Linked DNA regions of Rattus norvegicus. The protein of the gene in region 1 interacts with the protein of each later gene in a pairwise test. Links are inferred from orthologs where the notes say so. Each region holds a gene or a part of one and is shown in the gene's direction. Other genes may lie near its edges. The genes, in order: Hoxa1, Adamtsl4, Fbln1, Spry1, Fam221a, Trip6 and Egfl7.

Evidence for each region.
Region 2: the proteins of Hoxa1 (region 1) and Adamtsl4 interact in binary tests that used the Homo sapiens proteins (3 or more experiments, as listed by UniProt). The two-hybrid records come from large-scale screens. The link is inferred for Rattus norvegicus from reciprocal best matches to the Homo sapiens genes HOXA1 and ADAMTSL4.
Region 3: the proteins of Hoxa1 (region 1) and Fbln1 interact in binary tests that used the Homo sapiens proteins (3 or more experiments, as listed by UniProt). The link is inferred for Rattus norvegicus from reciprocal best matches to the Homo sapiens genes HOXA1 and FBLN1.
Region 4: the proteins of Hoxa1 (region 1) and Spry1 interact in binary tests that used the Homo sapiens proteins (3 or more experiments, as listed by UniProt). The two-hybrid records come from large-scale screens. The link is inferred for Rattus norvegicus from reciprocal best matches to the Homo sapiens genes HOXA1 and SPRY1.
Region 5: the proteins of Hoxa1 (region 1) and Fam221a interact in binary tests that used the Homo sapiens proteins (3 or more experiments, as listed by UniProt). The link is inferred for Rattus norvegicus from reciprocal best matches to the Homo sapiens genes HOXA1 and FAM221A.
Region 6: the proteins of Hoxa1 (region 1) and Trip6 interact in a two-hybrid assay, tested with the Homo sapiens proteins (2 studies listed by BioGRID and IntAct). The two-hybrid records come from large-scale screens. The link is inferred for Rattus norvegicus from reciprocal best matches to the Homo sapiens genes HOXA1 and TRIP6.
Region 7: the proteins of Hoxa1 (region 1) and Egfl7 interact in binary tests that used the Homo sapiens proteins (3 or more experiments, as listed by UniProt). The link is inferred for Rattus norvegicus from reciprocal best matches to the Homo sapiens genes HOXA1 and EGFL7.

Annotation. Positions count from the first base shown.
Region 1 is NC_086022.1:82,586,410-82,590,338, reverse strand, and holds Hoxa1 (homeobox protein Hox-A1), read left to right. Parts: upstream 1-1,129; 5' UTR 1,130-1,227; coding exon 1,228-1,876; intron 1,877-2,362; coding exon 2,363-2,718; 3' UTR 2,719-3,834; downstream 3,835-3,929. UniProt on the Homo sapiens protein: Sequence-specific transcription factor. Regulates multiple developmental processes including brainstem, inner and outer ear, abducens nerve and cardiovascular development and morphogenesis as well as cognition and behavior.
Region 2 is NC_086020.1:185,932,997-185,937,121, reverse strand, and holds the start of Adamtsl4 (ADAMTS-like protein 4 precursor), read left to right. Parts: upstream 1-1,325; 5' UTR 1,326-1,641; intron 1,642-2,209; exon of another isoform or gene 2,210-2,316; intron 2,317-2,415; exon of another isoform or gene 2,416-3,520; intron 3,521-3,583; 5' UTR 3,584-3,775; coding exon 3,776-3,795; intron 3,796-4,125. UniProt on the Homo sapiens protein: Positive regulation of apoptosis. May facilitate FBN1 microfibril biogenesis.
Region 3 is NC_086025.1:118,266,972-118,270,465, forward strand, and holds the end of Fbln1 (fibulin-1 precursor), read left to right. Parts: intron 1-1,265; exon of another isoform or gene 1,266-2,064; intron 2,065-2,123; exon of another isoform or gene 2,124-2,309; coding exon 2,310-2,449; 3' UTR 2,450-2,994; downstream 2,995-3,494. UniProt on the Homo sapiens protein: Incorporated into fibronectin-containing matrix fibers. May play a role in cell adhesion and migration along protein fibers within the extracellular matrix (ECM).
Region 4 is NC_086020.1:122,483,985-122,488,258, forward strand, and holds the start of Spry1 (protein sprouty homolog 1), read left to right. Parts: upstream 1-1,474; 5' UTR 1,475-1,515; intron 1,516-1,929; 5' UTR 1,930-2,218; intron 2,219-3,966; coding exon of another isoform or gene 3,967-4,021; coding exon 4,022-4,274. UniProt on the Homo sapiens protein: Inhibits fibroblast growth factor (FGF)-induced retinal lens fiber differentiation, probably by inhibiting FGF-mediated phosphorylation of ERK1/2. Inhibits TGFB-induced epithelial-to-mesenchymal transition in lens epithelial cells.
Region 5 is NC_086022.1:79,674,743-79,678,242, forward strand, and holds part of Fam221a (protein FAM221A), read left to right. Parts: intron 1-22; coding exon 23-213; intron 214-2,069; coding exon 2,070-2,276; intron 2,277-3,500.
Region 6 is NC_086030.1:25,021,738-25,025,758, forward strand, and holds the start of Trip6 (thyroid receptor-interacting protein 6), read left to right. Parts: upstream 1-1,221; 5' UTR 1,222-1,370; coding exon 1,371-1,479; intron 1,480-1,727; coding exon 1,728-1,855; intron 1,856-1,949; coding exon 1,950-2,075; intron 2,076-2,327; coding exon 2,328-2,711; intron 2,712-3,309; coding exon 3,310-3,403; intron 3,404-3,499; coding exon 3,500-3,669; intron 3,670-4,021. Other genes in the region: Slc12a9 (solute carrier family 12 member 9), read left to right, coding at 1-497. UniProt on the Homo sapiens protein: Relays signals from the cell surface to the nucleus to weaken adherens junction and promote actin cytoskeleton reorganization and cell invasiveness. Involved in lysophosphatidic acid-induced cell adhesion and migration.
Region 7 is NC_086021.1:29,812,049-29,815,466, forward strand, and holds the end of Egfl7 (epidermal growth factor-like protein 7 precursor), read left to right. Parts: intron 1-93; coding exon 94-221; intron 222-323; exon of another isoform or gene 324-400; coding exon 401-496; intron 497-648; coding exon 649-813; intron 814-1,101; exon of another isoform or gene 1,102-1,219; intron 1,220-1,370; coding exon 1,371-1,435; intron 1,436-2,004; coding exon 2,005-2,167; intron 2,168-2,283; coding exon 2,284-2,306; 3' UTR 2,307-2,918; downstream 2,919-3,418. Other genes in the region: Agpat2 (1-acyl-sn-glycerol-3-phosphate acyltransferase beta precursor), read right to left, coding at 3,379-3,418. UniProt on the Homo sapiens protein: Regulates vascular tubulogenesis in vivo. Inhibits platelet-derived growth factor (PDGF)-BB-induced smooth muscle cell migration and promotes endothelial cell adhesion to the extracellular matrix and angiogenesis.

The DNA of each region.
Region 1 (3,929 bases):
TAGGAGTTGACTGTGATCTGGCCCTCTGAGGCCTATATTAAGAGTGAACAAGCTTCTGAGTCTCAAAGAGTCGGCAGATGGCCTGCAGCTCAGGCTCGGCCACGCCAGCCACGTCTGCTGGCGCCAACTCTCTCCTCTGCCTTCTACCCCTCAAACTCCAGCAGCAGAGTTGCTCCGAATCTTGCAGGCTACCACGAGCAAAGCTGACTGAGAAGGAGAAGGGAAGGAGGAGGGAGGGAGGGGGAGAGAGAGAGAGAGAGAGAGAGAGAGAGAGAGAGAGAGAGAGAGAGAGAGAGAACACTCGGCCTTTCCCAGAGAGCTAGGTTCCTAGGGCCGACCCCCTCCGCCCCCTACGGCCCCGGGGTCGAATTACTGAAGCTCCCATTGCTATGCCATTGGCCAGCAGGAATCAGGGAAGAGGGCTCTGAGACCCTCTGGATGAGGATAGAAGTTTCTTTTCTTGCTCTGGTCCCCAACACATTCACCCGGGTTCCTCCCAGTCAATCGTCTGCGCACGTCCCTCTACATTCCGAGGCTGGCGAGCCAGTGACGCAACCTCGCCCTAGGCGCCGCGATTCGGGACTCTGCTGGGGCTGGATCCTGGCGGCAGTCCCCGAGCTGAGGGCGTGGTGTTTGTTGGATTCCCACCCTTCCCACCCCGTGTGCTCCCAGCTCCGCCAGGGTCCTTGCGACCACGCAGAGATTTTCAGCCCACAAGATGCCGGCCACAAGACAGCCGGGAGGCCTCATCCCCTCTCACCTCTTGCCTGTTCAGTTCTCTCGGCTGGGTGGGGAAGGGGCCGCGGAGGGTGCCTCCCATCCCCCCCACTTCTGGAGGCGGAGGCGCGCAGAGCCGGGCGCGCGCAGAAGTCAGTCTCGGCTCCCTTTAGTCCCAATGCTCCAAGTCAGCTCCGGCAGCGGCCGTAGCTACCGCCGCGGCCCGGGCTGCCTGGGGGGGCGAGCGCGCGTCACCTACACTGAGGAGCGCCGGGGATTTAAATGCCACTGAAACGGTGATCCATCACCGCCGCCGCCGGTAAACTTTCGCAGGCGGCTCAGCCATTGGCTGACAGAGTCACGTGTCCTTCCCCTCGAGCCCTCCGCCTGCCCGCCCCGCCTCTTGCGCACTGTACATTCATATCATTTTTCTTCTCTGGTCCTATGGAGGAAGTGAGAAAGTTGGCACGGTCACCCAGGGCTTCGCAGGACCCAGTCACTCAGTGACAGATGGACAATGCAAGAATGAACTCCTTTCTGGAATACCCCATCCTTGGCAGTGGCGATTCTGGGACCTGCTCGGCGCGAGTTTACTCCTCTGACCATGGAATTACAACTTTCCAATCCTGCGCGGTCAGTGCCAACAGCTGCGGCGGCGACGACCGCTTCCTAGGGGGCAGGGGGGTGCAGATCACCTCGCCCCATCACCACCACCACCACCATCACCATCCCCAGCCGGCTACTTACCAGACTTCTGGGAACCTTGGGGTTTCTTATTCCCACTCGAGTTGTGGTCCAAGCTATGGCGCGCAGAACTTCAGTGCGCCTTATGGCCCCTATGGATTAAATCAGGAAGCAGACGTAAGTGGTGGGTACCCCCCGTGCGCTCCCGCTGTTTACTCTGGAAACCTCTCGTCTCCCATGGTCCAGCATCACCACCACCACCAGGGTTATGCTGGGGGCACAGTGGGCTCGCCCCAGTACATTCACCACTCATATGGACAAGAGCACCAGAGTCTGGCCCTGGCCACGTATAATAACTCCTTATCCCCTCTCCACGCCAGCCACCAAGAAGCCTGTCGTTCCCCTGCTTCAGAGACGTCTTCTCCAGCGCAGACCTTTGACTGGATGAAAGTTAAAAGAAACCCTCCCAAAACAGGTAAGTCCTGCCAGCTGGCAAACAAATGCTGTTCAGTTTTTGAAAGGGGCCGGTGCACCTAGTTTCCTAGGAAAATTAATGATTTTAAAAGATAGGTTCTTGCTTATGTCTAATGTCGTCTAGAGTTGTAGTGGGTGGTGTAGGGTGCCCAGGTGTGTTGAGGCAAAGGAGTTTCAAAGGGGCTGAGGTTTAAGTGGTCTAAAGGTAGATGGTGTGTGTGTGTGTGTGTGTGTGTGTGTGTGTGTGTGTGTGTGTGTGTGTTGGGGTGGGAGGTGGTAGTGGTGTCCTGTTAATATCTACAGGCTCCATTAATCACGAGCCTGATCACGCTAATGGCTGACTTCAGGTTAACACTTTACTTACAACATCGTTAGTCACTGGCGCTTCCTGATAGGGTTTGCGCTGAGCAGTTTACTGAATATTGCCTCAAGTTTGGGGTAAAGGTTTAAGAATGTTTATCTTTTCTCTCTTCCTCCTCTACCCTAGGGAAAGTTGGAGAGTATGGCTACGTGGGTCAACCCAACGCAGTGCGCACCAACTTCACCACCAAGCAGCTCACAGAGCTGGAGAAGGAGTTCCACTTCAACAAGTACCTAACAAGAGCCCGCAGGGTGGAGATAGCCGCGTCCCTGCAACTCAATGAGACCCAGGTGAAGATCTGGTTCCAGAATCGCCGCATGAAGCAGAAGAAGCGCGAGAAAGAGGGGCTCTTGCCCATTTCACCCGCCACCCCTCCTGGAAGCGATGAGAAAACTGAAGAATCATCTGAGAAATCCAGCTCCTCGCCCAGCGCCCCTTCTCCCGCATCATCTACCTCAGATACTCTGACTACCTCCCACTGAGGCTGCCCCAGCCCAACTCTGCAGCCCAGGCTTCTCCCTGGGCTGAGATTTCTTACCCAAAGCACATTCTTAGCTTATCTTCCTTTCTTTCCAGACTCTCTCTTCCTTTCTGGTCCCATCTGGGGAGCTCCTGGCTAAGATAAGATATTTCCAGAGAATTCTGGAGACTTGGTTGGAAGTTAACTCCTTATTCTATACCAGGTGCCCACATCAATTTCTGATGGTCCCCAACGCCCTTTCTTTACTGTCTTGAGATTTTTTTACACAACCTATGGTTCCTTTACTGTCCGTTGGAGAACAGTTCCCTTTGCCAACAGATATCTGCAGAAGGGAGGTGTCTCGCCTTTGTATCTATGTATTGTTCTGCTCCACCTGGCCTTTAAGTAGGACATAGAGGAGGGAGGGTGTCCAAAGGCTCATGAGGAAGAGATGCTCCATGTTTACACAATTCACCCCTTGATTGCTGGGTATGAATGCTTTCTCTTCAGAGATTTATCTTTATACACATTTCGTAGAAATATGTAAGTCACTAAATCAAACAGGGTGGACAAATTCTCAAAACTGGCACAGGCCATGTGTGATTATGGGTGAAAGGAGAAAACCTCTCTCATTCTGAGTCAGATACTTCAGAAGGTGGCCTTGGTTGGTTCTTTCAGAGTTTAGGCCTACAAAGCACAAGGTTCAGAACCTTTCCTGTGCCGAGTCTTCCCAAACTCTAACCAATTCTTCCTGCTTCTCTGGCCACCCTGCATTTAAAAAAGTTATGCTGGACTATTTGTAACCTAAAGGAATTCTTTTCAACCACCCTTTCTTTTCACAGTATCTTGTATCTTGGCTGGAGACAAGTGTATTTTCAGCTAATTGTTTGTTAATGTGATGTATGGCACAACGAATGTATATTTTGTGTGGTTCGTGAATAGTCTTCTGCATGTCGCACAATGTTTTGACCTCCCTGAAATAGCACACTGAGTTCTATCAGTTGTCCTTTGTGAGCCTAAGATAGTCCCCATTTCCTGTACAATCATGAGCAGCTCTGAGATCCTGGAGTGACGTGGTCCAGAGCAGAGTTTACGGGTCTTACTTAAGATGTCTGTAATAAAATATTCAAGTTTCAGGTATGCCTAAGCATCTTGCGTATTTGGCTGGGCTACAGTGTCTGCTTACATTGGCTCATTTCATGTGGGGAAGGGAGGGTAGTGTTCATTTTCAAA
Region 2 (4,125 bases), on another chromosome or scaffold:
TAACACCTTAACTCCAAAGTGGCCATTTCCACTGGCAGGATCTCTTCAAACTAGACTTGGAGCCTTAAGAATTTAAACAAAGTACAAGATATATCCAAGAAACCTTAGTCTGGTGCACCAGGGGCCTCTTGTTTTACGGGTTGCAAGACAATGTTGCCAGAACTTGTGTGTTGAGTGTTTGGACATTGGTGGTGAGCCTGGCCTTCAGTGGCTGAGCTCTCTCTCAACCCTTGCTCGGGTACTTCATTGTTGTTGAAACCGAGATGATCTCACTTTGTAGCCCAGCTTGCCCTAGAACTTGCTGGGTTTCCCAGGCTGCCCTTGAACTTGCAGTAGTCCTCCTCTCCTGCCTCAGCCTCCCAAGTGCTAAGATTATAAAACGTGCAATACTATGCCCTATATGTTCTCCCCACTTCCCCCTGCCCCAGCCTTGGCTGGAATTCACCCTGTAGACCAGGTTGGACAGGCGTGGCACAGGCAGGCCTTTAATCCCAACACTGCAGAAAGCAATGGCTGGCGGATCTCCGTGAGTGGAAGGCCAGCCTGTTCTACACAGTTCAAGTCAGACAGAGCTACTGAGACCCTGCCTCAAAGAAAAACAAACAATCTTAAAAAAAAAAAAAGACGTATAAATAGAATGTGAATAGAATAAAAACCGAAAGCCGATTTCATCCCTTCTCCACCCCTCCTCAGTCATTCTTCCACAGGGAGATGGATAAACATCTAGCACACACATCAGATTCTCCCATTCTACAGACGACACTGCCGCACTGACGTCGAAGCGCTCATGAAAGACCACAGAGCTGGCATGTGCTCAAGCTGAAATTCAAATCCAAATTTGTCTGACTCATAATGCAGCGTGCATTCCTTCCGCTAAGCTCCAGGGTGTAAAATTTTATGGATGAAGAAACCGAGGCTCACAGACGTCCTGGGCCATCAGAGCCACATGGTTCACTGCCCAGTATGGGAAAAGCGGAGGCGATGGCATTGGCTGCGTGGAGGAGAGAGCCTTGGCTTGGGCGGATCTGAGCTTGCGCAGGACCACAAGGGTCCAGTTTGCAAATCCCCTTGCTCCGGGTCCGCTGCTAGCTCAGGTTCTTCGAGGACAGGCTCCACCCAAAGGCTGCCCTTCCAGAGTCGGTGGGGTCCCGAGCCCCCGGGTGGGCGCGGGAATGGTGCCTGCAGTGTGACTGCATGATCTTTAGCTGTCCCGGGCGCCCGGGATGGGTGGTTGAGGCCAGCGCGTGGCGGGCGGGGCACGGGTGGCGTGGGGTGGAGCCTGCCGCGGGCGGCGCTGTCCCGGGGCTCCGGGCCGCGGTGGCCACCGGAGGCAGCTGGAGAGAGCGGGCGCAGAGAAGGTAGAGCCTCCCTGACCCCCGCCTGGGCTCTGACTGTCTTAGAACAGTAGACCCTGAGGCGAATTCCTGGGGAGGGGGTCTGGTCTCTGGGACTCCAGGTCCCATCACCCGGGCGAGGGCTTGCGCCAAGATTCCTATTAAGTCACATAGTGAAGTTGGAAAACATAACCGGGACCTCCCTACGCGCTGGCGCAGCCGGCTCTTCCCTGAGGGGCTTCGGGAGGATGCGCCCCGACGCCTGCACTCTGGGATCGCAGGGATAGTGTGTCCAGGAGGGATGCGGGTGAGTGAGCTTTGCACAGCTCAGCCTGTTGTGAGAGGTTGAGGGAAAGGACACCTGTTGGGATGGTTTGCAGGGTGGTGGTGGTGGAGATCCCGTGAAAACCCAGGCCTTCTGACAGGACAACATCTTTCCTCTGCTAGCCCAGCCCTTACTAACTCCATACTCCTCCCCCAACCCCGCATTGGCTCATTCCCCCCCCCCCCCAGGTGAACCTGGGGTGAAAAGGTTAGCTCCCTTCAGGTCACTTCCCTTGGTGTCACTGGCCCAGAGGGGGTGTGACCAGGAGCAACATAGGTTTGTATTCAGCCTAGGTCCACCCTGCTCATCTCCAACCTCAGGGTCCACCCTGCCCATCTCCGACCTCTGTCTTTCTCACCCTGGGCATGAAAACGGGACAACCAGCATACATTTGTGCTGGGAGGGGGTGTCAGCTCTTGCCCCCCTAGGCGGGGGAGGGTGGGGTGGACTTTTCCAGAGAGGGAGCCAGGCCTGGCCCCAGCCCCAGGAGCTCTCGTCCCCCCCCCCCCCCCTCACTTCTCCAGAGAGCTGCCAAAACCAGCTCAGGACAGGATTATGTGTACTGGGTAGACCACGGAGAGGCAGCAGGGACAGACCTGGGGGAGAAGAGAGGAGCAGAGGGAGGTGGAGAGGGGACCCGCATCGGACAAGAGACAGGTTGTGTTCATCACCCCTTTTTTTCCTTCCGTCCAGCCTCCCAAGGCAGGCATAGGGCTGATGGGTGGGTCTCTTCCATCAGGGAAGTGGTGGACTCTGTGGCTGCCCAGCTAGGGGAAGAAGGAGAGGAGTGCATTTTACCTCCTCCACAGCCCCAAGAACTCAGCTCAGCCAATTGGATCCCCTCCTCAAATTCTCATGTCCTGGGGTCCCAGGGAGGGGGAGTGGAACCTAGCTGTGCCTCCTCTCTGACCTTTGCATGCCCTGAGCTGGCCTACTTTGGCCAGCAATCCTTGGATTCTTCTCATGGTGCCATTCAGATCCAGCAGAAACAGTGTTTTTCCTGGAAAGCAGAACTAAGATGGGGTGAGGGCTGTGAGTAGGCAGGGCCTCAGCGAGAAGGAAGGGGCTGGGGCTGGGGGTAGGGAGAGACATGGTTTGAGGACAGGTATAGAAGCCCCCCACTACCCAGTGTTTACAGCTAGACTTAAGGGTGGACTTTCCAGGTATACCTGAAGGAGAGCCTCAGACGCATGGGCTGCTATGAAGGCTGCATCTCTCCTTAGGTGCCCCAGCCATTTTGGCTGAGCATTGTAAGAGAAAAAAAAAAAAAGCAGAAAACTAGTACATGAGCTAAGTCACCCTGAGCCAATGCCTTGTGGATGCTGGCACCCATTGGGAGAATAAGTCACTGCCTCTTCTCAAGAGATGAAGCTATTAGCACTTAGTTTATCCCTTGGACAAAAAAAAAAAAAAAAAAAAAAAAAAAGCTGTATGACACTGTTCCTCCATAAGGAGCTTAGTTAAAAGGGGAAGAAAAGAAAGACTGGGGCGGGTAAGAGAGTAAGAGAGTAAGAGGGGTAAGAAACAAATGCTCTTGGGTTTTGTTAGGGGGAGGAGGTTGATTTTCAATTTTTTTAGCTAGAGGTCCCATGTCACTCAGGTTTGCCTTGAACTCCTGCTCCTCCTACTCCCCCCTCCCAAGTGTGGGATTATGGCTTGTGCCCCTACCCCTGGTACTAAGAGGCCTCTGGCTGGCCCCTCATGGGTGCCTGGCATAGCCTGTCTCCTCTAGGACCTGGAGTATTAGGAGAAAGAACCTCTAGGTCCAAGCTGCCTGCACACAGGCCCTCTTCCGGCTTCCAGAGGAGATAAGTCCATCTTGGGCCACAGGGAGGAGACTCAACTGAACTGAGAGGCTGAGGTCAGACCCCCACCCTCTCCTCAGCAGATGACAAAGACAAAGATCCTTTGCTTCCACCCTTAGGTCCTAAAGGGGTGGACCACTCCTCCCCCACCCCTCCAGACTGTGGGTGTTGTGCTGAGACAGCCCTTCAGTCCCCCAGATATCTGCAGGGGTAACACCATGCTCCTCCCTCCTCAGAGCACCCTCCATCCCTGATGCCAGAGTAGCTACCCTGTCCCTTCTCCCCAGCCCAGGGGCAGTCACAGGAAGAGCATGGAGCTTTGGCTGGGCAGGTAAGAAACGGGTAGCAGTGAGAGGAACGGCTCTATCTCTGATACTTAGGGCAGGGAAGGAGCTGGGGGTAGTGGTGCACACCTGTAATCCAAGCAGAGGCAGGTGGCTGCCTGTGAGTTTGAGGCCAGCACTGTCTACAGAACAGAGTTCCGGGACATTCAGAACTGTTACACAGAGAAACACTGTTTCAAAACACACACACACACACACACACACACACACACACACACACCCGGGTGGGGGTGGGGAGGGCTCAAGCAAGCTCAGGGACCGGATTGCTGGAAGGGGTCTGGCGAGTGACAAGGGACTCCTGCTTGCTGAGGAGCTGG
Region 3 (3,494 bases), on another chromosome or scaffold:
CCAGGAAAGTGAACACTCCATCCTCCTGTTCTCACATTCCAAGTGGCTGAGATTGCAGGCCTGGGCCCCCAGTTTGTTTGGTTTCTGGTTTTGGAAATTGCTGGGTTTTATGTCTGTCCACAGAAAAGGAATTTGAGACTCAGAGCTGTTAAGTAACTCCTCTGACTCAGGTCGGCCATCGCTCAAGCTCAATCCCTGTGCCCCACACATGAATTTTCACTTACTTTTCTGACCCAGACCCGCCTTCTACAACTACCACTGCATTCTCTACATTCTTTTTTAAAACCTTATGTTACACACACACACACGCACACACACACACACGCACTCACGCACACACGCACACTCAGATTATCAGGTTAGTGTGCCAGTTGCCTTACCCACTGAGCCATCTCACCAGCCCCCTCTCCACTCTTATGTATTTCAATGTCAGGCACCTACCACATGCCCTGCCGTGGCTATGTGTCTGAACTGTGGACCCTGTGGGGAGGAATGCTCACTCAAATAAAATAGATTGACATGCATGGCAACCTGTAGGTGTGACAGTATGATCAACATATAAATACTATGTCAGAATGAAACTATAACATGGCCCTTATCAATTTACATTTTATGCAAGTTAGGCATGGTGATACATAGCTATAATCCCCAAAAACGGGGTCCAAGGGTCAAGAGTGTTAGGTCATAATCTAATGCATAATTTGTTTAAAGCCAGCCTGGGCTACATGAGACCCTGGTTGAAACCCACTCCCACAAAGAGATAAGGCTTTACGATGTCTATGTTATATGTTGAAATCTTATATGTCATTATATACAATCAATTATATATATGTATGTGTGTGATATATATATACACTATTTGAATGAAATATATGTTATATAAAATACAATATTTATATTTTAGAAATTAAATCTCTATTTGTATATATGCATGGGAGATCAGAAGAGGTTTTGTATCCCATGGAGCTGGAGTCATATAGTGTTTGTGAGCCACTCAGTGTGGGTGCTAGGAATCAAGTTTGGGTCCTCTGCAAGAGCAGTATCACTCTTAACCATTGAGCCATCTATCCTGTCCCCATAAAACTATATTGAGGGGCTGGGGACTTAGCTCAGTGGTAGAGCGCTTACCTAGGAAGCGCAAGGCCCTGGGTTCGGTCCCCAGCTCCGAAAAAAAGAACCAAAAAAAAAAAAAAAAAACTATATTGAAATACTGCTTAGTGGCGAGGAGGCGGGATCTGATCAGAGCTTGAAGACATTTATCATACCACTGTCCTGTAGCAGATCACAGGTTCATTGGCCTCTCACGATAGCATGAGTAGCAACTTTTTAGCCATGGGCAGAGTGGTAAGAACACCCTTGCTCTCCAGTGGCTAATGTCACAGTTGCTGGCAGACAGACACCCTGTGGGCTTCGGGCCTACAGGGAGGAGAAGTGTCATGTATGGATTCAAAGGAGCTTTGAGAATCTTACGGGCCCAGCCAGCATTGTGACCCCATCCAACCTGGCAGGCAGACCCAGCCCAGGGAGGGGCCCAGTGGCAGGCAAAGGGTGACGAGCCTTTGACAGAAGCCATATTTGCTTCTAGGCCTTTGGAGGGACATGGTCGCAATGCTGTGGCCATCATGGGTATGAGAATGGGGTGCTAACTGCCTGTGGAGGTCTGTAATGCTGGGTTCCCAAGTTAAACACAGGTTTGCTTAGGGAGAAGTCTATGGGTGATATGTGGGCAGATGGCATGCTGGAGAATCTAGATAACATGCTGCAGGAGGTCCAAGGGCCTGTCTTATAGGGACTTGGGACTGCTTCTCCTGGAGAAGGAGGTTGAGAACCCACCCTTGTCTTCAAAGATCTCAGGAATCAGGAATAAACTATTGCTTTTCTTCTTCCCAAGGTCCCCGTCTAGGGTCTAAGAAGGAAGGACGGAAGGAGAGAAGGCTCAATTCTATTTCAGGCCTTTTCTGGGGCCTTTGAACCCCCATTAGACAAATGGTAAAACAGGAAACCGGAGTTCCCCACAAGGGCAGGTGCTGGCGCTGCCCCAGACCTGCCGACCCCCAAAGCCACACTCGCTGCTTCCCTCCTATTTGAAGCTATGTGTGACAGAAGGGAGGTAGTGAGCTCACCTATCCCTAGTGACTGGAAACAACCCAGAGTGACCAGGTGGAAGGAGATGGTTACCCTGGTGATTCAAGCATCTGCCTCGGGCTACCACAGTAGCCTCGAAATTCCCGAGGAAACCCCTTTCCCGGATACCCATGTTGCTGCGTGCCTGCTGACACCCAACAGGATGTCTTCTGCTCTCTCCCCAGGTGTCGTGCGCCAAGTGCGGCCCATCGTGGGCCCATTTTATGCCGTCCTGAAGCTGGAGATGAACTACGTGTTGGGAGGCGTGGTTTCCCACCGGAACGTCGTCAATGTGCATATCTTTGTCTCTGAGTACTGGTTCTGAGGACCGGTTTGCAGCACGGCCAGGAGTGTACCCCTCCGCCTGGCCACGCCCTTGCTCCCAGTGACTGCCAGGTGCCTGTCTGTACCCCTCGGGCGTTCCTTGGTGTTTCATGTTGGTTTGTAAGGCCACATACATTAAGCTGAGCCACGTCACTTAAGTCCAGCTGACGTACTGTGCTGTTTAAACATTGCTCAGTCATGTGGTTAAATCCTTGCTTTTTTTTTTTTTTTTTTTTTTTTTTTTTTAATGCAAAGGTCGAATTTTATTCTCTTTCCCTGCCTGTGGGCTAGGCAATGCTAAGGACCAATTGAAGGAGTTTTCAAAGCAGCGCTCCACCCAAGAGCCAAGAGGTAGCCCTTCTCACTGAGTCTGCTTAAGGGGTGACATTTTGGTACATATATATATATATATATATATATATATATATATATATATATATATATGAATATGAATGAGAAAAACCAACTGGGCTCTGTGTGCTTCAAACTGATGGCTGCTGTAGAGCGGTGCATAAATAAATATACAATAAATTCTCCCCAGAAGCAGCTCACAAGCATGCCTCGGGGGCACCTAGAAAGTGGATTGCAATTTTGTTCAAAGGAAAGCCCTTCGGTAAAGATGTGAGCTGCAAGGTTTGTGTGTGGCCTGGTATGGCTGTGGGGGAGGCTGGTGTGTCCCTGTGTGTCTCTGGGGGTAGCTGGTGTGTCTCAGTGTATCTATGGGGGTGGCTAGTGTAGCCTTCCTTGTGTGTCCATGGGGGTGGCTAATATGGCCTCATGTTCAAGGATGTGGCTGATGTGTCCCAGTGTGACCATGGGGGTGACTGGTGTGTCCCAGTATGACCATAGGAGTGACTAGTGTGTCCATAGGGTGACTATTGTGTCCCAGCAGGTTCATAGGGGTGACTGGTATGTCCATAGGGGTAACTGGTGTGTCTAGTGTGTCCATGGAGGTGGCTGGCTTTCTTTGTACCCTAAAGCTACCTTTCCTCACAAGGGTAAACAAGCTTTTGTGATCTTCCTAACAGCCTACTACACACTCTCCA
Region 4 (4,274 bases), on another chromosome or scaffold:
CACACACACACACACACACACACACACACACACACAGAGAGAGAGAGAGAGAGAGAGAGAGAGAGAGAGAGAGATCTACTGCAGAAACTTCCTTAGGCTGCTACATCTACAAGATAGAAAAGCCCCACCAACTTTACACTTGAAAACATGTCCTTAACACATCCCCTTCCATGAAGGGTGAACAGGCAGCTTCTTGGCTTTTACTACATTTTGTTGCCTTCTAGTGCACTTTCTTGCGGCTGCTGTTCTGTGTAGGGAGTGCCTGGGTTCCTTGCATGTAATCCCACGCATAATTGTGAACACTAAAAAACATTCAAAAGCTTGGAAATGCAGTATGCCAATGGTCATAAAAATGTTTATCAAAATCCACTGCAATTGTTAAGACTTTAAAAAATTACTTTGAACCCAAACTATCCAAACTCCCGTTCACAGGTGATTTAGATCATGGAGTTCTGTTGTTGATCAAATACTGTTCCTGATAAAAATTCCCTGGAAAATTATTTTCCACTAACAATTTTTGAGGCCTTAGGTTATCTTTAAGATAAGCTTCGTGGAACTTTTAATTTCACATACATTCCTTTTCACTGCATCCTGAGCTATATCGTCCCCAGAATACATGTCCAAATTCCTTAGTTTGTAAAGAAGCGAAAAGCATTCCCTGGCTTACTAAAGTCCCCCACCCCGTGACAGACATGTGACAAAAGTTAAAACTTCCTGATGAGTTATGCTTATTTTACTAGATTAAAAATGTATTGGTGTTTTTGACAAAATTATACAAACATTACAAAACAGGAAGGAATTGGGTTCCCCCTCCCCCATGTAATTTTAGGGATCAAATCACAAACTAAATGAAGCAATCACTAAAACCCCACAGCAGGAATTTCCACTCTTCAGTGTGTAATTATATTGCATTTGCAGAAGTGACTGTCCTTTCTGGAACTTTCATATTTCGCATGATCTGTACTTCACACATTTTCCCTCTGTCTGGGGGCACGGTGGCATGGTGTACACGTTTTTTCCGTTGTTGTTGCTGTTTGCTTGTTTTTGCTTTTTAAATGTTCTTCACAACTCTTTTTAACTCAATTCTAAGGGTGAATCCACCAGTCCCCTTAAATCGGAGGCTGACAGCTCAAGACTGACAGGGCCCCTGAAACACCGGGTACTCCCCTGTTGCGCTTGCAGGATTTCTGCAGGCAATCAACTTTTTAAGAGCGTCCTCGAGTCCACATCCACGATCGCTAAAATCCTGCTCCGGGTTTTCGCGCAGCCCGCGTGATTGACACATGATATCACCGGGGGCGGGTCCCGGCGTGGAGGTGGAGGTGGCGGCGACGCTGAAATGCTGCGGAGCCCGCGCGCGAGTGCTCAGCACGCAGGGGTTTGCGGCGGCCCCGCAGCCAGAGCTCTGCGGGCTGAGGAGCTGCTGTGGGCGGCGTGCATGTGCCGGGAAGGCCGGCCCCAGGCTCTGCACTAGGTAAGAGCCTTCCCCTCCCGCCGAGGACCTGGCGAGATCAGGTGAGAATGGTGCTTTATTTTATTTTATTTTCTTGGAACTGGACGTTTTCTGAGCTGGCTCTAGCTCTGTGCCCGGCGCTCTACGGTCGGCCCTGAAGCGAGTTCCGTAGCCGGGCAGCGAGTTCCGTGTGTGCGAACGCGGGCTGGCACCGCCGCGCACCCGCGTGTCTGTGCGCATTGTTGGCGACCGACCCGCCGGGCGCTCGTGCCAGACCTGACTTTCCCCGTCCCTGCGTGCGGGCTTGCCTCTCGCAGACGCGTCGTTGGGACGCGCTTTTGACTGCGGGGCGTTCCGTGGGGGCAAAACGTGCACGGCCGCGTGTGTCCGGAGCTCGTGGCTGTCTACCACGGCGAGCAGGACAGCGTCCCGGGCTGGCGAGGGACTCACGTGTTTCTGTCTCTGCTCGTCTGCAGCCGGCGTGGCGACTGCGGGGACGCGGACCTGCGGGAACCCGAGAGCCCGGGACGACGCCGGGCCGCGCGCCTGACGACCGGGACGGGACGGTGCTGTGGAGCGGGCGCCGCGCGCACCCGGCGGATGTCCCCGAGCCGCCCTCGGCCGCCGCCAACCGCGGAGAAGCGCCCCTGCCCGGGGGCCGCTGAGGCCGCAGCGCGGGCCATGCGCGCCCGGCCGCCCCGCCGCGCTTGATGCGGCGCGCGCTTCGCCCGCTCCGCGCCCCCGGCCGGCGCCGTGGAGGCCGAGGTGAGTGCGGGCGGCAGGTGCGGGCCGGGGCGGGCCGGGCGGTCCTGGCGGTCTTCGCGCAGCCCGTGCCAAGCGCGCGGCACCCGATGGCGCTGGGGATCCAGCGCCCGCCTGTGCTCGGAGCGCAGTGCCGCGGGACGCGGGGAGAGGGCGCTGCCTCCTCCCGCCCGCGAGCTGTTTTCATTCATAACTTTCCCCCGCCGGACCTGCCGCGGCTGGGTGCCCCTGAGGTCTCGGCTTGGGGCCCAAGCGCCGGGCGGTGCTACCCACAGTGCTGTCCGCGCGCGCGCTCCGGCTTAGCTCTGGGCGGTTGCGGGGCGCCTAAGTGCTCCGCCTGAGCGAACTTGCTTGGGAATGCCCTGTAAAAATGCGAATGAAAGCTGTGCCTAGGGGTTTCATAGCTCAAACAAGCCGTTCCCACGTCTTCCTTTCTTGTGGATGAGGCTTGGCACATTTAAAGTCTTCGTTATGGAGTTTTAAATTTTTAAAAAATAGATAAGGCACAGAACGATGGGCAGGTTTCCGGTATCGTTTAGGAGTTCGGCACTAAAACTTGCTATGGATGTGTTTCTCGTGTGCAGAGAAGGTAGTTATAAGCTAGAGGGGCCTCCAAAAAGCTAACACATTTGTAGTCTAGGGGCATTTGTTAGTAAAGTGACTTATTCCTTAAGACTTTTTGTTTTGTTTTTGTTTTCCTTTGGATACCAGGAAAGTGCAGAGGGTTCCTTCTTGAATTAAGGTGCATCAATCTATCTGTAAGTTCGGAAGGCATTTGTGTGAAAAATATTCCAGAAACCTATCGCCCAGAAACGGAAAGAATTTGGTCTTTTTTTAGGAAGAATACGTTATAAGTAGGGAGTTATTTCTTCTTGACATGGAAACGTGTTTGTTGTATCAGTGTATCAGTATTTATTTTACTACAAAAAGCCGGTCTGTTCAGGGCTTATGAAAATCAAGGCCTGTCATGCAGGTAAATGAAAGGAAATACATATATTGTAAAAAAGACCAGGGTTCCTCTCCCCGCTTTAAAGGGCTGACACTGTGCATAACTTACCCTTGTTGTGTGGCGGGTGAGCCTTTAACGCCACACCGTAAGGGTTGCGTACGTGTGCCAGAGCATTCCTCGTTCTTTGTAGCTTCTTTTGCCCATCTCACAGATGTGTGTGGTGAGCTAGCCTCAGACCCTGACTTCTGCTGAAAGTGACCTTTGGAGATTCCGAGTGAGCTTGGAGCAGCCAGTGTTTTGGAAATTGGCCTTGATTAATTTTCTCATTAATCTGAAGCTCGTAACAGCATATAAACGGCCAAGAGGCCACAGCACTAAAACCATTCTTAATCTTCTAAAAAGTAGCTGACATTTTCCCTACGTGAACTGCCAGTGAACTGATCGTGAACTCTGAGAACAGTTCCAGAGCGCACACTGAGTGCTGCCTTCGAAGGCATATTTCATCTTAATTATTTGTTAGGTTTGCAAACAGGAAGACATGACTTCCTCTGCTTTTCAGAAGCTGGAGAGCAACTTCTAATTTTTAAGGCATGAGGTCTTTGCTTTCTTCCTGTGATACGGTCCTCTACAATCTTTTCTGGGAGTTGGACTCTGGCCAGGATTCTGCATCATTGGAATCAGCCGACGAAGGAGATCTTTACCATGTGGCTTGGGAAATTTGTTTCTTGACAGAAGCCCTTTCCCCCTCCCCCCCCAAAAAAACCGCTTTCTGCCGCTTATTTTCTCTTTCACTCTTCTTTAGGATTTCAGATGCATGGCAGATTTCCGCTGACTGCTGGAATTGGAGATCACTCCACATGGATTCCCCAAGTCAGCATGACAGCCACACTTCACTAGTGGTGATTCAGCCACCGGCTGTGGAAGGCCGGCAGAGGTTAGACTATGACAGGGACACCCAGCCTGCCACGATTCTGTCCCTAGACCAGATCAAAGCCATCAGAGGCAGCAATGAATACACAGAGGGACCTTCGGTAGCGAGAAGACCGGCTCCTCGAACTGCACCAAGACCCGAAAAGCAGGAAAGGACTCATGAAATCATACCAGCCAATG
Region 5 (3,500 bases), about 2.9 Mb from region 1:
TTTGTGTTTCAATCTTTTAAAGGTATAAGCAGCACAAAACTGACTTTGAAACGGTTCCCCAGCAGCGTCCCATTGATCTGCCCTGCCGAGTGACCGGTTGCCAGTGCAAGGCTTACCACTATGTCCCTCTGAACGGCACCCAGCCTATTCGCTGCAGGTGCAAACACTTCGCTGATCAGCACAGCCCTGCCCTTGGCTTCACATGCAATGCCTGTACGTTCCATTCTTAAACGAAGTTGCAGTGTTTCGAGTTCTTTATTAATACTTAATGGATTTTATGACAGTTTATCCAGTTATAAAGTCAGTATTTAGCTACAAAGCAAAATTCGATGGGTGGATATTCAATTCTTGGAATGTTTAAAGTTCAGTGTTGTAGAATTTAAATAATTTATAATAGGGACAGATTTTTAAAGAATTACTAGACACGACCTGATTATTATTATTTTATTATTTTTTCATTTTGCTTTTTGGAGACAGGGTTCCTTTGTGTTGCCCTGGCTGTCCTGGAACTCACTCTGTAGACCAGGCTGGACTTGATCTCACAGAGATCCACCTGCCTGTGCCTCCTGAGCTGCTGGGATTAAAGGTATGAGCCACTACTACCTGGCTCAAAAGTTGTTTTTTTGTTGGTTTTCAAATTTATTTTAATTTAATTTTATGCCTATGGGTATTTTTGTCTACATGTATGTCTGTGTACCACATGTGTACTTGGTACATGTGGAGGCCAGAAGTTACCCCGGAACTGGAGTTACAGATGGTTGTGAGCTGCCAGGTGGGTACTGGGTTCTTTGTAGAAAAGCAATAAGTGCTTTCAGCCATTGACCCATCTCTGATAAAAAGTTTTCAATAACAAGCTGGAGTGATGGCTCAGCAGTAAAGAACAATTATTGAACAATTATTATTCTTACAGAGGACCTGGGTTCAGTTCTAGCACCTACATGACACCTTACAACCATTCATAGGACAGACGTTGTGCACAATCATAATTTAGGCACTCACTCATACACACGAAAGTAAAGTAAATGAATCTATAAAAATAACAATGTTTCAATGAGAGTTTCATTAACCTGGTTCCTTTTTTGCTATGGTGGTTGATGTTGGGTGGGCACGGATCCCAACATCTCACGAATGCTAGGCAAGCCCACTGAGCCACACCCCCAGTCCCAAGTGAATTCTTTACAGACTTTTAATAAAAGGGATTTTGTAAGTTTAAAAAAAAAATTGCAACAACCTGACAAACAATTCGGATTTTCTGACTGTGGGTTCTCAGACAGCAAATTCTACATGTAGCAGTTCCAAATCCATAGACTGTGGAAACATTTCTTACTACACGTAGTCTGCATAAAAGGAACCCAACCTGAGCAGCAGTTTACTGACGGCAGTGGAGTAACCGTTTCATCCGACAAGCACGGAATTAGTTGTATAAAACCTAGGGCTTCGGTTCTCATCCACAGGTGTAAGTGGTGAGAGAAGGTAAAGATTTATGTTATACATTCCTGTCTCTGTTCCAATATGGCTGTTTAAAAAATATGCCTGTGTACATGACCCTGCTGCTGGCAAAGGCCAGAAGAGGGCATCAGATCCCCTGAAATTGGAGTTACAGACAGTCGTGAGCCACCATATGGCTGCTGAACTCAGGTCTTCTGCAAGAACAGTGTGTGCTTTCACCCTGCCGAGCCATCTCTTCAGCCAGTAGTTTGTTTGTTTGTTTGTTTGTTTGTTTGTTTATTCTTTTAGTGTCAGGGTTTTGCTATGTATACAGGCCTGGCCTGAGAGTTACAATCCTCCTGTCTCAGCCTCCAGAGTTCTTGGCTTACAGTAGTTCACCGCAGTGCTCAGCTTATTACATAGCTTTTGAGGAGAGAGTCTGCGTTTTCTGTCACTCCAGTTTTTAAGGCAGTGTCTTTTGGGCCCAGTTGGTTTTTGAAACCTTCCCCCCTTTCAGTGTTCACCCCTTAACTACTTCAGCATTCTGTAAGAATAACAGTGACTGGAGAAGGTAAATGTCCCAGCGTGGTGTCCCAGCTTAGCGCTTGTTCTTAACGTGTGCCCTTTGTGTCTTAACTCAGGCTCCAAGTGTTCAGGATTCCACAGCTGCTTCACTTGTGCCTGTGGCCAGCCCGCATATGCCCACGACACCGTGGTGGAAACCAGGCAAGAGAGGCTGGCCCAGGGAAAACCTGTAGGACAGGATGTTCCTTATGCGGCAATGGGCGGTTTAACTGGTTTCAGCTCACTGGCAGAAGGCTACATGCGCTTAGATGACAGTGGCATCGGTAAGTGAGGACGTGTGAGCCTGGCACGAGACGCACCAACAGTGACAGAGACTTACACTGACTTAGCATTTTAGGGTCATTTTTCTTTCAGAAAAATTTCCCTTACTTGGTTTTTCTTTTAAAAACTTGGTTGCACTATATAACATATTGTTATAGAAAACTGACAGAACACATGAGAAAAGGTTATTCTGTGACAATACCTACCCAGAGTCCCCATCCCTGTCGGTGAGAGGAGCTGCATGGAGCTTTTGTCTGATAAGACAGAATTACTTGTTACTTTACTGTGTGCAGCTTGCTGTTGTAACGCTCCTGCTTCCTCCCCTCCCCATTTTCCTTCTCTTCTCCCTCTTTTCTCATTGACCTACATCAAGTCCTTACAATGCTATGTGTACTAATACTTTTATTTACTTTGCAGATATTTTCCCCTTTATGCTATTAAGAGTTTTATTGTAACACTAAAAGTGTTATTCTATTCTTATTTATGTGCCTGTGTTTCTGTGTGTATTTGGGTGTTCAGGTCCTTGTAGGGCTAGGAGAGGGCATTAGATCCCTGGCGCTGCAGTTACAGGCAGATGTGGGAGCTGGGAACACAGCTCTGGTTCTTGGAAGAGCAGTAGGCCCTCTCTCTCAGGACCTGTCTTCCCAGCTCCCGATGTTAAGATTATGTTTAAAAAGCTTGTAACTAGGTTTTTATTCCACTTTTTAAAAATTTTTTTTCTATTTTTTAAAAATTTTTTCCATTTTTATTAAATTGGGTATTTCTTATTTACATTTCAAATGTTATTCCCTTTCCTGGTTTCCTGTCCATCAGCCCCCTAACCCCTCCCCCTTCCCTTCTTAAGGGTGTTCCCCTCCCCATCCATCCCCCATTACCGCCCCCCCCCAACAATCCCCTTGATTCCACTTTTTACACTTTGTTTTATAAATGTACTTCTCTGTCTTCACTTTATCTTAATACATAATTTCTTTTTTTTTGTGATGTTGGGATTTACTTTTGTGAACATGTGAGATACTATAATTAAGTTTTTGTGCAAATTGATGCTGGTTATACAACTGGCATCTTTTTCTCAAATAACTGGGGACACTGTCATATTCTGTCATGCTTGTTATGTGTATGCTAGTAGCACACGTACTCCATTTCTCATTGTATACTTTGATATTTGACGTCCTTCCTGTTTGTGTTCATCTGTCAAAATTACAATACTTTAACATATTTTCTCTTTT
Region 6 (4,021 bases), on another chromosome or scaffold:
AGATGGCTACCATCTTAAGCATGGTGCCTGCCTGGCACAGTGCCCGGCTCCGGATCTTTCTGTGCTTGGGGCCCAGAGAGGCTCCTGGGGCAGCAGAGGGAAGGCTCCGGGCCCTGTTGAGTCAACTCAGGATCCGGGCAGAGGTGCAAGAGGTGGTGTGGGGTGAAGGGGCTGAGGCTGGGGAGCCTGAGGAGGAGGAAGGGGACTTTGTGAATGGTGGTCGAGGAGACGAAGAGGCAGAGGCTCTAGCTTGCAGTGCCAATGCCCTGGTGCGTGCCCAGCAGGGACGAGGCACAGGAGGAGGCCCTGGGGGACCAGAAGGAAGGGATGGAGAGGAGGGACCCACCACAGCCCTTACCTTCCTGTATCTTCCTCGACCTCCTGCTGATCCTGCCCGCTACCCTAGATACCTGGCACTGCTGGAGACCCTAAGCCGTGATCTGGGTCCCACCCTTCTTATTCATGGTGTCACTCCGGTTACCTGTACTGATCTCTGATGCCTGTGCATACAGTGTTGGATAGATAGAGAGGGCCCAGGCCCATTCTCAACAAGGGACGCCCTCCCCCGCCCCCAATGGGCCCTGCCCTTTTGATGATGTTTTAAGGGGACCCTGGTCTCCTTTGGGTGGCGAATGGACATAGTACACTAATTCTAGGTGGCTGCCCCATTGTAGGGGAGGACATTGCGGCCCTGTTCCTGGTCTGCCTACGCTTCCTTCACTGGTGCCTTGACCAGAGGGGCTGGTCTCTTCTGTGACTCTAGGCTACCTCAGTGTCCCCATCCTGGCCACAGACGCACCACCTCCCTCTCCCCGACTTCCTTGGGTGGTGATGTTTGTGTTTTGTTTTATTTTTCTAACTACTGACCATAAATAAAAGACCAAAACACTATGGGCTGGTGGAGCACTGCTGGTGGGTAGATGAGAGGGAGCCGGGTGGGAAGGGAGAGATCTATGAGGGGGTGGAGACTTTCAGAGTCCCGGCCAAGAGGCTGCCACGTGCAGGACTGGGGCAGGGATCTGAGAGAATTGCTGGACCAGAGCCTCTCGGAGAGGCCTGCAGCCCACCCTAGGCTTGGCTCCGGAGGAGGGCGGTCCTCACTTAACAGGAGGGGGCCAGAGAAAGGAAGAATCGTAGAATAAGGCTTGGGGGACCACGTGACCCTCACCAGGAATGTGGTGACGTCAGGGGGCGTGGTCCTCTCCAAAATTGGGGAGGAAGGGAAGAAAAAAAAAGCCAGAAAAAGTTTCTTTGCTGGAGTCCCAAACGGGGCGTGGGGCCGAAAGGGAGGGAAGGGGCTCAAGGGCCCGGCCGCTGGGCTTGTGGGGGTCCTGACCTCTGTCTGGAGTGGAGCAACCCTATTCCAGACCATGTCCGGGCCCACCTGGCTTCCCCCGAAGCAGCCAGAGCCCTCCAGAGTCCCTCAGGGGAGAGCGCTGCCCAGAGGAACCCTGGGTCCGCCAACGGCCCATGGAGCAAGTAAGTGTTCCCCTTTCCCACACCCGGGAGTGGCAGAAGAGCCATTGGCCACTTTCCTTAACCTTTTCTTCCTTGCCTATCTGCTTCCTGCTGTCCCTTCCCCAAGCCAGAGTCCCTTGCTCTTGTGCAAGTTTCCCTAACTCTTGGTCCATCCCCAGACTCCCAGGTACGTGAAGGAGAGCTGCCTGAGAAAGGCGGCTTTAACCAGGGTACCCTTCTCCGCTCTCACCTCCCGTCTCCCCCTTTAGCGCTCCAGCCTCACCCCAGGGTCAACTTTTGCCCCCTCCCACCTGAACAATGTTATCAGCCTCCGGGGGTACCGGAAGATCGGGGGCCTACTTGGGTGGGATCCCATGGAGCAGCCCAGCGCCTGCAGGTGAGAATTGGAGGTGAGGGTAGGATCAAGGTGAGAGAAGGCTAGGTAGGGGTTGTGATCGGTATTTGTTCTTCCTGTTTTGGCTCTGTCTCAGGGGCTCCCTCCAGACCGGGGAGTCATCCACCCTGGAAGTCTGGACGCTGAGATAGATTCGCTCACCAGCATGCTGGCTGATCTGGACGGGAGTCGCAGTCATGCACCTAGGCGACCAGACAGACAGGTGATCTCCTGTGTTCTGTCTCTCCTGTGTCAGCCGATTCTCTTTTGTAGATTCTCAGCCTCAGTCCGCCCTCTTCACTCTCCGCCCACCCTCTTTGCAACTAATAAATAACTGGTTCAAGGAATCATGAACTTCCTTCTTGTTAGGCCTAACCCATGGGAACTTGACAAAAGTCATGGCTCCCGAGATTCCACCTGGCGCGCATGGATCTTGGATCTGGCCTTACTGTTTGTGCATTGTTTGTCTTCCCAGGCTTTTGAGGCTCCTCCACCCCATGCTTACCGTGGAGGCTCCCTGAAACCCAGCGGAGGTGCTGTTCCAGCCCCGATGCTCCCAGCATCTCCCTATGGTGGACCTACTCCAGCCTCTTATGCTACCGCGAGCACTCCAGCTGGTCCTGCTTTCCCTGTTCAAGTGAAGGTGGCTCAACCCGTGAGAGGCTGTGGACTGCCCAGGCGGGGGGCTTCGCAGGCCTCTGGACCTCTTCCAGGCCCCCACTTTCCTCTGACAGGTCGTGGTGAAGTCTGGGGAGCTGGCTATAGGAGCCACCGAGAGCCAGGACCAGGGGTTAAGGAGGGAGCTGCTGGAGTTCATAACCCTGCAGGAGGAGGAAGAAGAGGTGGGCATGAGCCTCAGGTAAGCCAGGGGGTGTGGGCACGGTGGTACCTGGTCATTGTAGGTAACTGGCCGTTGGTTAGGTGGTGTGGAGGCTGAGGGATTAAGATACCGTTTTTAGGAGACGCAGTTCAGTTGGTAGAGAGTTGGTAGAGTCCTTTTTTTTTTTTTTTTTTTTTTTTTTCTTTTTTTCGGAGCTGGGGACCAAACCCAGGGCCTTGCGTTTGCTAGGCAAGCGCTCTACCACTGAGCTAAATCCCCAACCCCGGTAGAGTCCTTTTTTATTATGTAGGAATCCCAAGGTTCTAGACCCAGCACTGTATAAACAAAGCATGGGGGAGGTAGAGGCAGGAGGATCAGTAAATTAAGATATTTGGCTACATAATGAGTCCAAGGCCAGCCTAGGCCATATGAGACACGCTCTTAAAAATAAATATAAGTCAGTTGTGGTTTTAGGGTACTTAGAGGTCAAGGATTACGATGTCCAAAGGGAAGGGGCTTCCTTCCCTTGTCAGCCTGGGAGATATTCTCAGAGGAAATTTCAGGGTTCCTGAGCTTGTGGGTTACTTACGGTGTGTGAGGTCGAAGCAGCACTGCAAAGCCCTGTTTCTCCCTGTAGGGCCCCTTGAGCCAGCCTCCAGAGGAGGAGCTGGAGAGACTGACCAAGAAGTTGGTGCATGACATGAACCACCCGCCCAGTGGGGAGTACTTTGGTGAGCTGACCCGCTGGGTAGGATGGGACGGGGAGGGGACAGTGGATCCGGTGTCCTGGGTCTGTGGAGACTGATCTTGTTCCCCTCTGTCCCCAGGTCGGTGTGGTGGCTGTGGCGACGATGTGGTTGGTGATGGAGCTGGGGTTGTGGCCCTGGACCGTGTCTTCCATACTGGTTGCTTCGTGTGTTCTACCTGTCGGGCCCAGCTCCGAGGCCAGCACTTCTATGCCGTGGAGAGGCGGGCGTATTGTGAGAGCTGCTATGTGGTGAGCGGTTGGGCTGTGAGAGGGTGTTGCCAAATTGGGAGTGTCAAGATTTGACAGGCAGGTTTCTATCCAAGAGAGGGCCAGGTACTCAGCTGGGTGGGCCTGGAAGCTGGAGATTCAAGCTGAGGTACAATGAACTAAGTATGGTGGCTCAGGCCTGTCTGGAGGAGAACATGGGCTACGGAAGCGGGTTGGAAGCCAGCCCAAGGCACAGGTTTCCGAAGATCGATTGATCCATCAACCAAAAGAACACTTTGCGTTTTGTTTCTTGGATTGCCTGTTTGTCGTTTTGAGATAATACGTCGTGTGTCCCAGGCTGGCCTGAAACTCTTAGGTATTTATAGCTAAGGAA
Region 7 (3,418 bases), on another chromosome or scaffold:
CAGATGATATAGGCAGGGTGCATGCTTTCCAAGGAAGGCTTGGCTAGGGTCACTCCACATTGGACTTCTCTGAACTATACTTACGCACCACAGAACCATCTACCGGACTGCCTACCGGATTGCCTATCGCCATAGCCCGGGGCTGACTCCCAGCAGGCCTCGCTATGCCTGCTGCCCTGGTTGGAAGAGGACCAACGGGCTCCCTGGAGCTTGTGGAGCAGGTAAGGGGCAGTGTGCACTGTGCCTGATATGAACTTCACTTCCCACTGCCCAGCAGTATCCCTGCTGCCTTCTACCCCTCAAGCCATGCATCCTTGCTGCAGGGCAACCCTTCCCTGGATGCCGCAGGGTTCTGGGAACTCCCCTGAATGGGTGACAGACAGGCCTCTCCTACCCACAGCAATATGCCAGCCACCGTGTGGGAATGAAGGGAGTTGCATCCGCCCAGGCCGCTGCCGCTGCCCTGTGGGATGGCAGGGAGATACTTGCCAGATAGGTAAGCCTCACTCTTCTTGAAGGGTCTTCTTGGTGTCTTGTGTATCCTAGGTTACTGCCGGCTGAAGCAGGTTCTCACCGATAGGTGGATCTGAACAGGGCTCTGTGGTCAGGACCTTGGCTTCTGTAGAGTGACACCTTCGTTTCTTACAGATGTTGATGAATGCAGTACAGGAGAGGCCAGGTGTCCCCAGCGCTGTGTCAATACTGTGGGAAGTTACTGGTGCCAGTGTTGGGAGGGGCAGAGCCCATCTGCAGATGGGGTGCTCTGCCTGCCTAAGGAGGGGCCCTCCCCGGTGGCACCAAGTCCCACGCCAGGTAAACTTGTCTTTCCGACCTGCGGTGACTGGCCTGGATAGTGAGCACTGTTGTGTGGTTGAGCTGAGCATGGAAGCTACAGAGGGCAGCTAGCCCTGGGTGGAGGCCAGCACTATGCTGAGGGCTGATTCCAGATATCCTGGACTGGTGGGGGGAGGTTCCTCACCTGGGTGGGAGGGGCTGCTTTCCCCTGAAGAGGTTTCCGGAAGGTATTGTGGGGCGGAAGGCATAGCTGGGAGCCTCACCTCGACCAACTGAATGAAAAAAGAGCCCCACCCTGACTCTGGCAGCCTGGAGCCGTGTCTTTGCCGGTGACAGCACATTATTACTTTTGGTACGCGCTGTGACACTTCAAACTCGTACCGTGAGTAATAATGCGTGGTCAACAGCGCAGCACCGGGAGTGCATCGGACCTGGGTAAGGACCATTGTTGGCACTCAGGGTGGCCAGAGAGGCTTTGCATCTCCAGACTCTGCTTCCACAGCTGTGGCCGAGGACTCAGGCCTCTGTGGGACAGGAAATCCCCCTCTCTGACTAGCGCCTGGATCTGCCCCCAGGAGTGGACAGCGTGGTGAGAGAGGAGGTGTACAAGCTGCAGGCCCGGGTTGATGTATTAGAACAGGTGAGGCTTGGCTGGGAGTGGGTCTTGCTGGTGTCCCCAGTCCCCAGTCTCTGGAGCTGTGGTTCCAAATCATGGGGGGCTGGGAGTTTTATGGGGAAAAGGTCGTAAGGATGCTGGTTTTTTTTTTTCCATTTTCTTTTCTTTTTTTTCGGAGCTGGGGACTGAACCCAGGGCCTTGCGCTTGCTAGTCAAGTGCTCTACTACTGAGCTAAATCCCCAACCCCGGATGCTGGCTTTCTTACTGTGCTAGGTAGCACTGTATGGGATTCCTTAGTCTAGGGCCCACTTAGATTGCTATACAAGGACTCTGGTAAGTCTCAAGCCACAGACCCCAAGACTCTCCTAGTTCATCTCTGGGGTCCCAGGTCTTTGTAGCTAGATTGTGGATCTGTTAATCACCTGTGTCTACTAGACGCTGGGGTCCCTCTATTGCAAGCAGGGCCCTGCTGCTACAGCCCAGTAGAAAGAAGCCTTACTTCTCACACATGCCCTTACTAGTCTTCCTTACGTTCCCAGGGAACAGAGGTCAAAGAGGTCACTAGGCTTTTTGCAACCTTCCTTTCAAACAGAAACTGCAGCTGGTGCTGGCCCCACTGCACAGCCTGGCCTCTCGGTCCCCGGAGCATGGGCTGCAAGATCCTGGCAGCCTGCTGGCCCACTCCTTCCAGCAGCTGGACCGGATTGACTCACTGAGCGAGCAGGTCTCCTTCCTGGAGGAACAGCTGGGGTCCTGTGAGTCCCCCAGATCCTAAGGAACCCATTAGGGGGATACCAGGGCTGGGTGGACGGCACCACCACTGGGATGGGCAGATCTGAAAGTTTATACCCTCTTTCCTCTCCTTCCCTAGGCTCTTGCAAAAAAGACCTGTGATGGCTTCTCAGTGCCCATGTTGGATTGAGCTGTTACCCCTACGTCCCTTCTAGCCTGAGTTCAAGTGCTGTCCGGTGGTGCCTGTGAGCAGAAGGCCCTGCTTGTTTATCCCTCTCTCTTAGGAGGTTCCTAGGCCCTGGGCATGGGGAGGGGGGTCTTGTGTGGCTCTTAAGTGAGGCTTCCGGGAAAGGAATAAGATCTCCCTGCCTAAGAAGTGAGGTGGGGGCTGTCTCCACCTTTGTCATATTAAAGCTGGGACTTGAGCTGCTGTCACTGGGTGAGTCGGACTGTGTACACACTGTACTACTGCCATGTAGGAGCTGCAGTGGGCAGTCCTGAGGCTCTCTTCAGCCTATGCTGATGCTGCCAAGCCCGTGGTCTGCACACCCTTCAGTTCTGTGGACCCTGCATTCACTGAGCAAAGCAATGCTGGCTGATCACAGCTCACCTGCAGGCAGTTAGGGAGGAGGGAGCTCAGACACCGCAGCCCCAGGGATCGATTCACACACCATCTTTCCCACCCTTCATCCCTGGATGGGGACTTGGGAAGAACTCTTACCACCCTCTGGTCTCTAGGCACTTCTGAGTTCATTTATAAAAAAAAGAACCAAAGTACAGCAGTGATTTGTGACTGAGGCCGTCAGACGGTGGGGGTGGCAGGCTCTGCCCTCTGGTGCTATGTGAACCGGCTTCCTTGAGACTGGAAGACCAAGTTCCTCCTCTTCATGATGGCCTGATACAGGCCACTGCCTGGTTCCTGAATGTTTGTCCTGCATGATGGGGTGGGCCTTGGGTAATGCGTTGCCCATTCCTAGGTGCCTCGTGGTCTTGTGGGTCAGCCCTCTTGCTGGATTCTGGAGGCACAGGCTCGAGATGGGAAATTACATAGGGTCCTGGGTTTAAGGCCTATGCCAGAAGGGGCTTCCTGATTCCAGGCCCCAGGGAGAGCCAGGCCAGCACGGGAGCAGGCTATGATGATGCTTGGTAAGTGGGAGGCTGCGGCCTTCTGTCCACTCTTCAGCCTCTGCTTCCCATTGGTCTTCCCCCAGCTCCCCTGGTCCTGTAGCCTGGGCTACTGGGCTGGCAAGACCCCAGACTCCTTAATGGTAGAG